4 linked regions of the Oryza sativa Japonica Group genome follow. The protein of the gene in region 4 interacts with the protein of the main gene of each other region in a pairwise test. Links are inferred from orthologs where the notes say so. Each region holds a gene or a part of one and is shown on either strand. Other genes may lie near its edges. The genes, in order: guanine nucleotide-binding protein alpha-1 subunit, coleoptile phototropism protein 1, guanine nucleotide-binding protein subunit gamma 1 and guanine nucleotide-binding protein subunit beta.

Region 1 (4,015 bases), on a different chromosome or scaffold from region 4:
CTCTACAAGCCAACCAAAGGAAAGTGTTTGATCTGCAGTGGAATACTAGCAGGTATTCCACCATTTCAGGGTTGGGAGTGTGATTGATATGCAGGAGATTGACATTGTGCAGAACATTGGCCGTCAGGCTGCCGCTGCCGTCGCCGGTGGTGTCGGTGAGAAAGCCCGGTGGTGGTGGTTGTGCCGGCGGCGAGGAGTGGCTGCAACAGGATGGGCTGTTGTGCATGGGCGGATCAGCGGGTGGCTTATGGCGGTGGCCACGCTGTTCGCCGGCGACGGACCCGGCGGCGGCGGCCTTCACGAGGGACGGCGCATGATGATCCTGGATAATTTCGAGACTTCGGGCCGGCGTGCGTGCAAAGCCCATACATATTCTACGCGCAACTGTCACGCACAAAAACGAAGTTTTTAGTACCACATGGAAAATCTATGACGACTGACACCGGCATAAAAGACGACGCGCTCGCATCGCTCCTGGCGAGCTCGGTGGCGTGAGCTTGTTACCCCAGCTGCGGGGGGGCGGGAGTTGGCATGTTTCGGCTGCTGGAGAAAATGAGGTTTCTCCCTCGATCGAATATGGATGCAAACATCCTCCCGACTTTGGCCCACGAGGGAGGGAAGGTGTGAGTCACCCTGGGCTCTTGACGGCTGCGTCATGGAGCGAAGAGGACGCTGAATCGTGGGAGAGGTGTGTGGTGGCCGGTGCCCGACGACGGCGCCTGGCGATGCGTGGGGAGAAGGCGAGCAGTTGTATGTGAAGAGGACGCTGAATCGTGGGAGAGGTGTGTGGTGGCCGGTGCCCGACGACGGCGCCTGGCGATGGGTGGGGAGAAGGCGAGCAGTTGTAGTTGGGACCCGCCACACCCCGCACGTGCGCAAGTCCATGACGTGAGCGCTCCCGGTCATTAGGAGCCACGTCAGCTGGCGGCCTCCGCCGTTGAGCTTTTCCCTGCCAACCGACACCCTTCTCCCCACCCATTGGCGAATGCCCTAGAGGTTTGGGTTGAGATAGGAGTAGAGGGGAGTGAGGTGGAAGAAGATTGCTAGTTGGCTTGTGGGTTCCACGTGGGCCCTGCACTGACTCAGCCACCACGTCAACAAAACCGGAAAGCAATACTACCTTGGGATTAAAAGTGGACCGTTTTGCAAGATTAGGGGTTCAGGGCCGTTTAAAACTCAACGACAAGATAAGGGACCTTAGATGAACTTTTTTGGGAGATGAGGCGCCTGTGCATATGACCCATAGGCAGGCGACAACGCGGCAGCAGAGCGCTGCACGACCTCCGCCTCCCCAATCCGTCCCGTCTCCTCGCCCGCCGCCCTCGACTCCCGTCTCCTCGCCTGCCGCTGGCGCCGATCTCCATCCTGCTAGCAGAGGTGGCGCCGGCGTCCTCCTGCTCCCGCCGCATTCGCATCCTAATCCATCCCATCCGGCCTCGGCCTCGAATTTCGTCTCCTCGCCCGCCGCTTGCGCCGATCCCCATCCTGCGAGCAGAGGTGGCGCCCGGCGTCCTCCTTCTTCCACCGCATCGTCGCTCGCCGGTGAGCATCCCTCCCTACCCACACCTCATCAGGTATTCTGCGTTATCCCTCAAAAAGTTTGGGGGTTCAACCGAAACAGGGTTAGATCTGCCTCTGCCCAGCTCCACCTACTTTCAAGTTGTTAATTTTGATTTCCGTTTTTAGCAGATGTAATTTGGTTATTGAATCTCATCCAAACACCCTTAGAACGAAAAATGTAAGCTCACATAATTTGTACTCATCCAAACTCACATAAATTTCTTAAGAAGAATCTAGACCACAAACTACCCATAGTCACACAAAATATCTTTTTATCAAGGTATATTCTTATAAGTAATTTTTATTCCACAAAATTTTCTAAAGGACATACTGTGACACTTGGCATGAATCTAATTTAACATTCTTTCTTTATCAGGTTATAAATTGAAACCATTGAACGTACTTTGTCTTCCCGTCCCTAAAACATTGTGATATATCTGTAATATTTTAATATTTTTAATTTTAAAAATAATTTAGACTAATAATATAGATATTTAAATTAGGTAATTAGTAAATTCAAATCAACTATAGTTTGGAATAAAAAAACAAAATGATATATGCCAAGTACAATCTAATAACAATAGAATGCACTTTTGGTTAATGTTTACTCCTAATTTCTTAATTTCTAGTTTGGCTCCCCCCACCGTTATGGTAAAAAATCGTTATGTTTTAACTATTTATCTGCTAGAGCATATGTAATATTTATGTAAACTATGTTCTTTATTACCAATCAAAATAGACACCTTACCTACTTTCATCAAAAGAAATAAAAAATGTAGTAGGTATTATTCTGGAATACTCCTCGTCGGAAACATATGGAACGCATTTCCCTCAAAACGCAAAAACCGGGGCCCCGAGCCCTCGACACCAACCCCGTCAGATGTGAAGCCGACGGCCCAAATGGAGGCCAGCGGTGCCAATGCGTAGGCCACGCGTGCCTCTGCGCAAATCTTATCTCCCGGGAGGCTTCGCTCCACTTCCCTCCCCGAGTCACTCAAACCATCCAATCCCCCCACCTTCCCTTTCCTTGCCCCCATTCCCCACCGTCGCAAGGAAAAATATTATTAATAAACAATGATGTTGATGTATTATTATTAAACAATGATATTGATGTATTTCTAAATATTTTCACGTATTATTTATTAAGTGTCAGTGATTGAAATGGATCCTGGTCGGAAATGAATCCTGGTCGGAAAATGGTTACTAATGTTTTTCCTTCATATAATATTTCTGGATATGTATAACAATGTGGGTCAGCAATATTGAACTATGCAAACCATTACTCTGTACAATCTTTTCTTTTCAAATGCTGGCCACATTTCGCTCGAGCTTACTGCTCATGTATGCAGCTCATGGATCCTGAGATCTAGACGTCAACGTGCTTCCTGGAAAGAGAGAGGCTCAGGCATGAGAGCATACCTCTAAAATAATGTCCGTGCTTACCTGTGTGCTTGATAACATGGGCTCATCCTGTAGCAGATCTCATTCTTTAAGTGAGGCTGAAACAACCAAAAATGCAAAAGTAAGTTAGCACTCGGACTTATTGAACAAGTAAATGCTAACTCAATTCTTGATTTGAGAGTTGCCACATTTGGTTTCTTCTAATTCAGCTGGTAACAGTCTGCAGACATTGACAGGCGAATTTTGCAAGAGACAAAAGCAGAGCAACACATCCACAAGCTCTTACTTCTTGGTATTGCTAACTTTCCCAAATTTAAGTGGTCATTTTCCTTGTCACAATTATCTGTGCTACCTTTAGTATCTATTGGTTCAGAAAATTAATTGTTTATGTTGTTCCTATTTACCTCTATAAAAAAACCTTTCTCATGTTATTTCCAAAAAAAAAGAAGATAAATAAATGTATCCTAGAAATTTTTAGTTTGAACTTGTTCTCAATGTGGATCCATCCTTCTTTCTCTCTCTCAATTGCTTCTGTTTTAAGGTGCGGGAGAATCAGGGAAGTCTACGATATTTAAACAGGTGATGAATGTTATATTCCATGGAGAATCATAATCCGTACGCCGCTAGTTAGTCTGATGTATTCTTACTGTTCACCTGCAGATTAAGCTCCTTTTCCAAACTGGCTTTGATGAGGCAGAACTTAGGAGCTACACATCAGTTATCCATGCAAACGTCTATCAGACAATTAAAGTATGCAATACTGGAAAGGGTGTGTCTTTTTTTTCTTATTGCAAAGTGGGGATTATGTAGGAGATTCGACTAGGGATTTGTATTCTGTTCATAAGGAAATGCGTTCATACTTTTCCTTTTTGTCGAGTAATGTGTTAAATGTTAACAGATACTATATGAAGGAGCAAAAGAACTCTCACAAGTGGAATCAGATTCCTCAAAGTATGTTATATCCCCAGATAACCAGGTTTGTGCTTACTCTTTACTCAACAGTTAAAGCTAAATCTGTGCATATGAACATGTCTTGTTAAATCTGGGAATACAA
Region 2 (2,755 bases), on a different chromosome or scaffold from region 4:
AGGAAGTACTTGCTAGAAGCTACAGTTCTATAGGCACAAAACCCTACCCATGCAACAGTTTTTTTTTTCCCACAGCAGTATATTGCCTCCTTACCGGTGCGTTGTGTAGTGATGGTGCTTGGCAGGCTCATGCACAGACACACGAAAAAAAAATAATCAAGCGGGCATGTGCAGGGGGAGGCTTAATACAGTTCGTCGCGCTCGATTAGTTCCATCTGTAAACGGCCGGCTTAAAAATTAAACCACTTTAGCTACAAAGACAAATAATTAAACAAATTTCTTTCTATATATGCAAGAATCATTTCAAAGTTCTAGAACTAATACATTGATCTTCCAACAAACTTAGCCCATCGTTTAGCATACGCTGATTATAAGCCGTAATGGCTTATGAGCAATCAAAAAATAATGTGCGTGCGTGCGTACATGTCCTTAACGATTTAAAAGTAAAAATTGAAAAATAAACTACGGTTTAAAAAAGACCTAAATCAACTCTAAAATTCAGTTTTAAAATTCAAATTTAAGCTGAAAGAAGACCGATTGTTTCTCAAGACAAATAGGAGACAACGGCTAAAATCATCTGCTTGAGTAGTCCTCAGACTCTGCATAAAATGGATTAATTCTGTCTGAAAACGCCATGAACATCACTACATCAAACTGAGCAAAATGGACTCTCTCAAAATACAAAAGACCCATGAAATTACTTGAAAGTTGAAACCAATCAACCATACAGCATCTAGCTAGGCAGCTACTCCATTTACGAGATGGAGTTCCTCCACCTTCTCGGGCCCTTCCTCGCCGCGGCCTCGCCGCCGCCGGGCGGCGCCACGCCACCACCGGCCGCCGCGTCGGCGCCGGACATCTTGGCCAGCCTGCCCAGCTTCTTCCACCCGCTGCTCCACGCCGACGCCGACGTGCCCTGCTGCTGCTGCTTGCCGATCTTGGCGGCCGCCGGCGACGGCGCGCCGCCGCCGCGGCCGTCCACCTGTTTCTGGAGCGCGTCCATCTCGTGCTGGAGCTCCAGGTACTTGGCCTTCATGCTCTCCAGCTCGAACTTGAGCGTGTTGATGTCCTTCTTCGCCGCCGCCCACCCCTCCTGGAACGACTGCGGCGTCCCGTCCAGCAGCTGCCGCCGCGTCGTCGGCATCGCCGGCGCGGCGTCCGCCCCCGGCGCCGAAGACGACGACCTGAGCGCCGCGGAGGAGCTCGCCAGCGCGTTGCTGATCTTGACCTGCTCGGTGAAGAGCACCTGCACCACCACCCGCAGCGGCAGCCTCTCGTTCTGCGCCGCGTGCATGCACGCGTCGAACGACAGCTTCTGGCAGTCCATCACCCTGCACAGCCTCTTCCTCTCGTGCTCCGTCAGCGTCGGGTGCGCCTGCAAATCGATCGATCGCCATTAACTCCGGCGATCACCGGAAACTAGCTAGCTGTAATGTGCTAGTTACCTTGAGGTAGGAGTCGACGGCGCGGTACAGGCCGTCGTCGCAGGCGCGCGCCGACTCCGGCAGCGACTCGGCGAGGACCTGGAACTTGGTGAGGGAGAGGTTGCGGTCGCGGGAGACCTCGGAGAGGTAGCTGTCGAGCAGCCGGGCGACGCGCGCCTTGGCGTTCAGCCCGCCCGTCGACGCCGACGCCGACGCCGCGGCCGCGGACGACGGCGGCATCCTCCCGCTGTAGTACTCCGGCTGCGGCGGCGGCGGAGGGTCGCCGCGGCCGGGGCTGGACGCCACCGCCATCTCCGTCTGCTCCTGAACCAGGAAGTGCTCGACGAGGCGCTGCACGAGGTCGACGTCGTAGGCGGTGTCGGCGGCGCGGCCGCCGTAGGAGGGGATGAGGAGGTCGGCGAGCGCCGCCTGCTCGAGCTGCATCCCGACGCGCTTCTCGAGCTCGGTGACCAGCGCCGGGGCGGCCCTGAGCATGATGGCGAGGCGGAGGAGGCGGAGGAGGAAGCCGCAGGAGACGCTGTCCCGCTGCGGCGGGGTGATGCTGATGATGCTCTCCACCACCATGCGCTGCTCGCGCGACGGCGCGCTGCAGGCGGCGAGGACGTCGTCCTTGCCGCCGCCGGCGCCGGAGATGATCATCATGTGGAGGCCGCCGCCGCCGACGCCGGCGGCGGAGGCCTGCGCCCACGGCTCGTCGTGGGTGGCGCCGAGCGGGGCGTCCTTGGTGAGGCCGGGGAGCCATTTCGACGCGTAGTGGGTGATCGCCGCGCCGATCAGGTCGAACCGCATGCCTGTCAAAAAAAAAAACTTACGTTTTTAGTTGATGGAATTCTTGAAACAGTTCAGCTACTGTATATGCACCGTGCAAATTTGTTAATGTCTGGGGTAAATCTTTTACAATTGTTAGCATGCACTTATCTTGTGCAGTTTTTTTTTTCAAAATAATTAACTGTAGCCATTATAGTTTTATCGTGGATACACCATATTTTCAAACTAATGGTCTATTTACTTCATAGCCACACTTTTGACAGCCATAGTTTATTAGGTTCATGTTATGGTTTGACACATTTTTTTTAATAGTATGTTCTACACGTCATATGCTCAATTTTTTTTGTCAACTTTGCTATATTTTGTGGCTAGCAATTTATTGTGGCTGTCACTACCTTCTTAGTTGTAGTAAAGTGTCACCGGTAACCAAATACACCCTACATTTCCATAGGCAGTTTCTGCCCGTGCAAAGGCCATTTTAGGTGCCCGTAGAAATGTTCTTTTAGTAGTAGATGTTTTTGCATCCTCTAATAGCAGAAATG
Region 3 (4,167 bases), about 2.2 Mb from region 4:
TTCCATTCCAGCCTCCTTGGCACTCCACCCGACCACAGCAGCGCAGCCACACCATCGAGATCCAGGGCCACATCCAATTACTTCACATGATTATGCACTTCATCAAATCCCTCCCATAAACATGCCTGCCCATGACAGCATGTCATCTTCATGTGATCCAAATGTCTATGATTTTGGTTTTACTTTCAGTGCGAGGAGCCTCAGGTGTGTCTGTTAGTGTGAGCCATACTTACTGATAAAAAGATTGGCAGTTGAGTTAACCAGTGAACGCACTTTAGTTCATTTTCTTCAAATATAAATGCATAAATTTGACGATAAATTAGGAGGCCAGTGAACCATCAATTCTATGAAGTGGGTTAGTAGGCTAAGACCCACTAAATTACGTGCCCCAGCCATACTTTGGAGCGCATGGCCATGGTCCATGGATCTCGATACACATGGACAACAGGTTTTATGATCATTGGGAATTTTCTTTTTCTTATGCTTGTTACCACTTCTTTTTATCAATGTGATTGTATATCACAAGTTTGCAATAAGTGTGGCTATGTATACCCCTGATATAGAGACCGAGTGAGATTCTTCCATTATCTAAAGAAAGGTGATAAACACCCATTAGTCCTTGGTAGTTTTATTTTCTAGTTACTTTATTTACTCAGTTGAGTATGGTAAACTCACAGTACATGACTTCAAAGGTCACTTTCCCATCTGAGTATGTGACAGATCCGATGTTGACAGAAGAAAGAAGAAAACTTCCTCCAATGAGAAGGAATGAGAACTACAGTGTGATACTGTACCAATTGCAACAGGATTTACTACAAAAACGAAAATGAAATTCTATTGTGTGGTTCATTAAATTGATTCTATTTGTTCACTGTTGTTATTTCAAGACAGACTACAGTACGATGTTGACAACATCATTTACCACCCAAAAAAAAACTCTAAAATGAAGTTCTATTGTGTGGTTCATTAAATTGATTCTATTTGTTCACTGTTGTTATTTCAAGACAGACTACAGTACGATGTTGACAACAGCATTTACCACAAAAGAAGAACTACATTTGCATTACGACTTACTTGTATCCTCTGAAACTGGTACCCATGTGCATAATGAAGAGATTTAACACAAAATACTAAAACAGTTTTATAGAACAAACAGATAAACATTCTTCTAGAATGATTGTTCTCCTTTCTCTTCACAATCTTGATTCCTCAATAGTGAGTACAGAGCATATGATAGTATTCATTTGGCGTCTAATTCTAAGAACTTACAAATTAAGCATTTTGAGTGATGCACATAACTAAAATGGTTAGCTGATTACTCAAAGAACATACAGACAAGTTCCTTTTTATTTGTTGATAGAGCAAGGATATATTGCAGATGTCATTTTTGCAAAGGGGCAATCATGTCAGAATGCCCCTTACACATCATAAGTACTGTAAAATAACACAAAAACAGATAGAACTATCAAGTAACAGAAAATAACTATGTCAACAAAAATTAGTGAATTCATAGCGGTACTTTCCTGTACCAGCAGTGAACAAATTGGCTAGCGAGTCATGCTAAGGTTTCGCAGCAATCAATTTCATTTACCATTTCATAAATCCTAGTGTTATTTTAGAGTTTAGGAGAACCATTTATTCAGCAAGCCTTTTGATCCAACAAAAAACTAGATTGGATCTCACAAAACAAACCAGAACACATGGCTACCCATTCTAAACAGGTCCCCAGGAAGGGGCATCAGTATTCAGTAGTATCCCTGAAGCAGTCTTCACTCTTGAGTACACTGTCAGTCCCCAATCATTAGATGACACAGAAGAGCACTTTTGTTTCTCTGGGCTCTGGTATAGATCCTTAAAAAAAAAAAGAACTCTACAAACTACAAATAGTCAGGCAGGAAATACTAGAAAAGAAAAGGCCCACAAAAAGGTACGGAAATAAATATTTTTTTGTTTAGGACAAGCAGGCTCTGCACGGCGACCATGCACATGCGCTTGACTTCTCTGCTCCTCTCCCCCCACATTTCCTCACCCATATGGGCCGCCATGGGGATCAAGCAAGTTCGGACAGAAGGCAACAAAAAGAAACCTTGGACAAACATGGCGAGCGCTTCGTGCTCGGTCATATGGGAACATGGGATTGGAATCATTGAACATGATCGAGCCGAGCGAAATGTTAGGCAAAAAAGCATAGCATGCATTTTCGTTAATTTCGAGGCGGAATATGCGGCACCTTTGCAGAGGAGAATTGAAATGCTCTCCTCCATTAATTTCACACCAAATAATCCCCATAACAGAAAGTCCTAAAGAAACTATTTTTCTTTCCTTTTTCCCCCTTTTTTGCTATATACTCCTAGATGAAATCTAACCTTTAATACTGCAAGAATTCTGGAACCAAATTTGGGAAGAAGACCGGTAATGCTAGTCGACCAAGAAACAAGGGAGGAAGAGGAGAGAGAGAGGGAGACGGACCTCGAGAAAGCGCGCCTCTTGCTCGAGCTTCTTGAGCTCCGCCTGGATCCGGTGCCGCCCCCGCGTGTCCCCGGCGTCCCCTCCTCCTCCGGCCTGCATCACCGCCGTTCGATCCGGTGCGGGTGCGGTGGTGCGGGTGGGTTGGGCAGAGCAGCAAAAGACGAGAGAGGAGAGAAGTGGAGGTGGAGTTGTCACGGACGGAGGGCGGGGTGGCGACGGAAAAGGTTGGTTTTTTTTTCTTTTGGCTCTGTCTCTGTCTCTCTCGCTGTGGTTTCTGAATGATGGACGACGGGAGTACGGGACGGATCTTCTGCCTGCAACTTTCAGACTTGGGAGTACAGGTTTTCAGTTTCAGTTTCAGGTTCAGGTTCAGTCGAGCGAGACGCTGCATGTGTCTTATACTTTTCCCATTGTCTCTTTCTTTGGCCCCGTCATTTCGGTTATTTTTATGTTTGTAAAATCAAATTTTAATTTTTATAACTTAATTTTAGAGTGACAAAATCCAGTAAGATATACTCCCTCTGTCCTACGAATAACCAACCTAGTACCGGATGTGACACATCCTAGTACAACAAATATGAATATGTCACATCTAGTACTGATTTTTTTTTGACGAAGGGAGTAGTAGGACATTGATTTTGCAAACAAGTAGTTTATATTTAATTTATGTTTTTTAATCGTAGTTTGTTTCATAATATTTGCTTCTGAGTCACTAAAGACACGTATATAAAAACCTTACTTAGGAATTTACATTTTTAAGTTGCTAATAATTTGTATGGATAAACCTAAGTATGTGTGAAACGATGGGACTGTTGATCTTCGTTTGCGTTCGTTTTTCTTTTCTTTTACTCGTTTGGCTCTTCCGTAAATACATGTTTTATATTATTTTTTTTGCTGACGTAAACAAAATACATTTATCTCATGTATATGTTTTTTTAACTTCGCCATGGGTGTCATGACTCATGAGCCAGTCCATGAGTCCATCGATCCACTGCTTTGATCAAGAGCTAGATGCGGCAACATTTCATCAAAGTCATAATCCACGAGCATAACGATCATGACATCAAGCAAATTTTCTACCAGGTACTCCTGTCGTATCGGATATATGATGTTTTTATTAGATAACAATAGGTGAACAATGAATCCGATCAATTTTATTGATCTCAATATGTCCTCTTTTACAGTGTATGTATACATGATGCCTAGGATTCTCCTAGGATTTAGGGGAGATTTAAGCCTCTGAATGTGGCTATTTATATGTCACAAATGCTCCTTAAAATGACTTTTACAAGATTGATGATTCACTTGATTGCTGCAATTGCTGCCCTTTGATAAGATCAAATATGACCTAATGATGCTTTTGTAACACTCCTCATTTTTATCGAGTCCATCTTGAGACCAACTTGTTCTTTAGTTCCTTTGAAAAACCCTGTGGGAAAAAAATAGAAATAATGTGATTGGTGATTACTCTATCAGAAATATGTAATGTTTAAGGGGTAATCCATGCCTTGTTTTATGTCTAGAAAAATCCCTGTGAGGAAAACATGAGATAAGGCATAAGCTTGTATCTAACATTGTCTCATTAAAAACTTTGTATGAGAAAAACCGGATGGTAAATCTTACATGTTTCTGATAGAGTAATCACTAATCATATTATTCTTATTTATTCACACAAGGTTTTTCTAAGGAATTAAAGAA
Region 4 (4,213 bases):
TCAGTTGGTTTACTCTGCAATCTTCTAGCCCAGAGCCATGGTTATGCAGAGTCTGTAAGCCACAACTTAGGATTAGGATTTGTTGCCGAGGAGCCACTGCCGCCATAAAAAAACAGACTACTGCTTGCATCGATGCGCCGAGGAATCACCGCCGCCTGCTTGCCGGAGCCTCCGTGGACTGCCGTTTGCTTCAACGCGTCAAGGAACTGCTGCCTGCTCGCGTTTCCGCACAGGCTAGCCGGAGCCACCGCCACCACCTGCTCGCATTTCCACACAGGCTCGCCAGAGCCGCTGCCGCTGCCGCGAACTGCTGCTGGCGTCACTGCGCCGAGGAGCCACCACCTGCTTGTGTTTCCGCACAGGCTCACGACCGCTGCCGCATGCTCTAGGTCTAGGATTTGTGGATGATCTGATGGAAACGGTGGAGGATAACAGGAGACTGAACATGCTCAAGGGTAGAATGGTAGTCTCATTTTTCTAAAATCGTTTTTCCCCCTTTTTTATGTCTCCTTAGCTCATTATTGTGGGACCCACCTAACTTCCATCCATAGTAGGGGTAAACGGTGACTTCATTTTGAAAAAACATGGGTAAATTTGCAAACCCTAAAAAGTGAGGGCAAAATCACAGTGGAGATTGAAAGCTGGAGTACAAACACAATTGTCCCTTACTTTATTGGCAAACAATTTTTATTGCAGGTTCATGATTTTATTTTTCTTTCCTTTTTACGCGATCTATTACCTCCAATGAGGTAATATGAATGCCATCCATTGGACCAAGGTGTAATTAAGAGTACCATAAAAAAAATCAATATACTATAAGAGAAACCAATGGTAACAATCTTTGAGACCATGACAAGTCAAACCATGCCGCATAAAAGTGAACAAAGGGAATACATGCAGCTGTGACTAGAAAGGAGAAATAAACACTGAACTATCCTCCTAGGAGAGACTAATGTTTGTATACCAAATCACTCAACCATGTCCAAGTTTTGCAATAAGCATGTTACCATTCCATGCATAAGGGAGGGAGGCAGCCAGCGATGGTTGTCTGTGACATTGCTTCTGCAAATCAACTAGTGGAATTTTATTCCATAAAATATACAAAAACAGTATTGCCTATATGGGGAATACATTCTAACAAAACCTATTTTTGGCACTTTTTTTAGAATATGACTCTGGTTGATTCAATGGACACAAGTGAAACAACATTTCTAGGGGACGATAGAATTCTAAACAGGTAAATGATGAACTGGTTGTCAAAATTGCAATCTAGTTCAACCTAGTTCTGTCTATGGGTAGTACTATCTGATTAGGATGTAATGCCATCTATAAAAAAATATTAGCCAACACATGCTTAAATATTGTAAAGTATCATAGCGATTTCACTTTTTAGAAGGAAAAGGACTAACCCCTGCTCTGATTGAAAATGAAATACACAGGTAAAGAATGGAATTCTAAGGATGGAAGCAACCAAAAGTGCATCTACCTACACAGGTTTTTTATTATTACACACAAAATATAGCATTTAACAAAGTTACTCTACTTATCCACCTTCATCTCATTCCTGTGAACCAAAGGTCTTGAGCCTTATCCTTTATAACAAGAGCAACCTCCATAAAAGAAGACTTTCTCCGCTTCCCACAGTAAAGGATAAGCAGACCAAAACATTCTTGGACCAATAAAGGTTTACAAAGTTTGTTCCTCAAGGCAAATGGTGGCTTTATATTTAGAAATAGGAGAACCAAACCTCCTCAAAACCAGAGAGTAGCTACACACCACACAGTTCAACTAATTGTATTACCATTTATATAACATAAGGCAAATAAAGCAACAAAAGCATGCAAAACAGCAAATATGACATAAGTGCTTAATTAACTTTCTTCTTCTTGAATAGCATCTCGAATTCAAGTTCCTCCTACCAACATTCCTAAACACAAGATAATTTAACTCTAATCTACAACAATGCAACTTGACCAGTATTAAAAACATGCTAAAATCCACACAAAATTAGACCAAATAATCAATATTTGCCCAAAAATGATGCATTCAACTTAATGTCAAGTTTCTTAACTAGAGGTACCAACCCAATCACCGAATCTTACTCACTCGAAATTAACTGGGCTTACACTACCACCCCGTCTAGCACCAGTTGCAACTATTTCTAATCGCAAACAAGTGCTAGTACTTCATCCATCTCTTCTTCCACAATTCAACCTCCAAAACCGTACGACCGAACCCCAATTCGCAAAAGCTGTACCGAAATTGAGATACGAGAGGCAGAAAGTCAACTGATCAGCAACCTTTCCGCTGTGGCCTTGAAGCGTGCGGCAGCACACCAGATCCGTCGGGTTGAAGCTCACCGGCGTCCGCCCCTGCGTCCTCGAGTACCTCTCCACTGCACATACACATACACACACCCCAAAACAATCAGCAAAAAAAATAAACCCCGCTAAATTCACCCCGAGCCCTCGAGAGCTCCCACCGCCTGTGGGGGTTGGAGGGGTGGGTGGGGGGGGACCTCACCGTCGGTGTCGAGCAGCATCTGCCGCCTCTGACGGAGCCGCTCCCGCAGGGAGTTCACCGACGCCGTGGCCGCCGCGTGCTTCTCCTTGAGCTCCGCCACGGACGCCATGCCGCCGCCGCCCGCACGCCCCCCGCGACCTCGCGCTGGTTGAGGGAGGGGGGATCTACTGGGATCCGGGCATGGAGGCGAGGAACGCAATGGCCTCGGCTGGAGCTTTCCGGAGCTCGCGAGGAGGAGGAGGATACTACCACGGCGGCGGCGGCGAGAAACGGACGCCGAAATGGGGTGGAGGAAGAGAGGGGGGGGGGGGCGAGTTGTTGGGGGACGCGTTGCGTTGGGTTTAGGAGGAGGAAAGAGGAGGAGGTGTCCGACTAGGCTGTTTTTATGTGGATGACATGTGGGGCCCACCTGAACGTGGGGCCCGCGGTAGTAGGGTTGGTTTTATGGCAGACTGGGGAGAAGTGGGGGTAAAGGGACCACCGGGGAGTGACCGTTGTGTGAGCGGGCGACTGTCACATGTTTATGCAAGTTTTTTTTTTTGAGAAACTAGTTATTGTTGATTTGTTGTCAGCTAGTAGTATCTGTGGCTTGATTTTCTCTGTTGTTCAACTGAGTGTAGAGAGTTCGGAAGAAGAAGAAGATGCATCGATGCTGATACGAGATTTCTCGAAGGCTAAATCCTATGAAATGACATTGAATTTCAATCGGAATACAATGTGTAAAATAGAGAACTATAAATCAATTTATAGAAAAGATCATTTGACTTATAAACTTTGGGTCTCTAAACTTTAGATGTGTAAACTTGGGGTGTATAAACTTTAGATGCATAAATTTACTAAAATAGAAAAATAATGTGGTGCCAAAAAAAGAAACCACGTGAAGGAGGGGGTGATCGCTAGGGGCGATCGATCCTCCGTTAGCCTTTTCGCGACCTCCTACGCACGGTGAGAATGGATGGAATGATGACATCTGTATTTTAAGTAACTGTAAAACTGTTCAATTCTTTCATATAAAAGAATATTTCTTTAGATTTCATTATATTTCGCTCACAAGTCAATACAGTATGACTCAAAAATGGGAATTACAACACTTCCCTTTGTAACCGTCAATACTTTTCTTTCTAAATCGCCACCATTTTTTTTTTACAATGTGTATGGGATCCCTTTGCAAGGTTGATTCAACAACTCAGCTCTTACAGAAGAATGATGTTGAAAGGTCAATCATGTTGCCACATGGCAAGAAAAACCAACGAAGGAAAATGGCCAAAAGATCTGGCCTACCAACTGCTATCCCACAAACTAATTCCACAACATCGAAAATGACACTACGGGTACCTTTTTTTTTTCTTCCGTTTGACGGATAAAAGCACCTTTCAATTTCAGATTACGACCCTGATGTTATATTGTCTTTTGAAATCCACAAATCTCTTTCGTTACAAGTATGCACAAGGGTTAAAAACTTAAGCCAATGCAATGTTTGGGACACGCAAGAAAATAGAAACCACATTCATCAAAGAACATTATACTACCTCACGAGAAATTACTCCAAAAATCCGATAAAACTGTCATATTCCAGACAAGCATGACAACATGCACGTACAAATAATGCAACATAATCGACTATAAATATAGGCATATACATATAAGCATAGGTAGATTACACACCAAACAACCTGTATCACCATTGACA

What was found.
Region 1: the proteins of guanine nucleotide-binding protein subunit beta (region 4) and guanine nucleotide-binding protein alpha-1 subunit interact in binary tests that used the Arabidopsis thaliana proteins (3 or more experiments, as listed by UniProt). The link is inferred for Oryza sativa Japonica Group from reciprocal best matches to the Arabidopsis thaliana genes AGB1 and GP ALPHA 1.
Region 2: the proteins of guanine nucleotide-binding protein subunit beta (region 4) and coleoptile phototropism protein 1 interact in a two-hybrid assay, tested with the Arabidopsis thaliana proteins (2 studies listed by BioGRID, with this or other methods). The link is inferred for Oryza sativa Japonica Group from reciprocal best matches to the Arabidopsis thaliana genes AGB1 and NPH3.
Region 3: the proteins of guanine nucleotide-binding protein subunit beta (region 4) and guanine nucleotide-binding protein subunit gamma 1 interact in a two-hybrid assay, tested with the Arabidopsis thaliana proteins (2 studies listed by BioGRID, with this or other methods). The link is inferred for Oryza sativa Japonica Group from reciprocal best matches to the Arabidopsis thaliana genes AGB1 and AGG2.

Annotation. Positions count from the first base shown.
Region 1 is NC_089039.1:15,701,868-15,705,882, reverse strand, and holds the start of guanine nucleotide-binding protein alpha-1 subunit, read left to right. Parts: upstream 1-1,200; 5' UTR 1,201-1,542; intron 1,543-2,909; 5' UTR 2,910-2,989; coding exon 2,990-3,082; intron 3,083-3,180; coding exon 3,181-3,253; intron 3,254-3,502; coding exon 3,503-3,540; intron 3,541-3,621; coding exon 3,622-3,711; coding exon of another isoform or gene 3,712-3,730; intron 3,731-3,859; coding exon 3,860-3,937; intron 3,938-4,015. UniProt on the Arabidopsis thaliana protein: Exhibits a fast rate of basal nucleotide exchange. Guanine nucleotide-binding proteins (G proteins) are involved as modulators or transducers in various transmembrane signaling systems.
Region 2 is NC_089036.1:22,087,876-22,090,630, forward strand, and holds the end of coleoptile phototropism protein 1, read right to left. Parts: intron 2,237-2,755; coding exon 1,446-2,236; intron 1,376-1,445; coding exon 755-1,375; 3' UTR 508-754; downstream 1-507. UniProt on the Arabidopsis thaliana protein: May act as a substrate-specific adapter of an E3 ubiquitin-protein ligase complex (CUL3-RBX1-BTB) which mediates the ubiquitination and subsequent proteasomal degradation of target proteins.
Region 3 is NC_089037.1:25,117,326-25,121,492, forward strand, and holds the start of guanine nucleotide-binding protein subunit gamma 1, read right to left. Parts: upstream 2,824-4,167; 5' UTR 2,569-2,823; coding exon 2,470-2,568; intron 1-2,469. UniProt on the Arabidopsis thaliana protein: Guanine nucleotide-binding proteins (G proteins) are involved as a modulator or transducer in various transmembrane signaling systems.
Region 4 is NC_089037.1:27,271,422-27,275,634, forward strand, and holds the start of guanine nucleotide-binding protein subunit beta, read right to left. Parts: upstream 2,812-4,213; 5' UTR 2,633-2,811; coding exon 2,524-2,632; intron 2,396-2,523; coding exon 2,301-2,395; intron 1-2,300. UniProt on the Arabidopsis thaliana protein: Guanine nucleotide-binding proteins (G proteins) are involved as a modulator or transducer in various transmembrane signaling systems.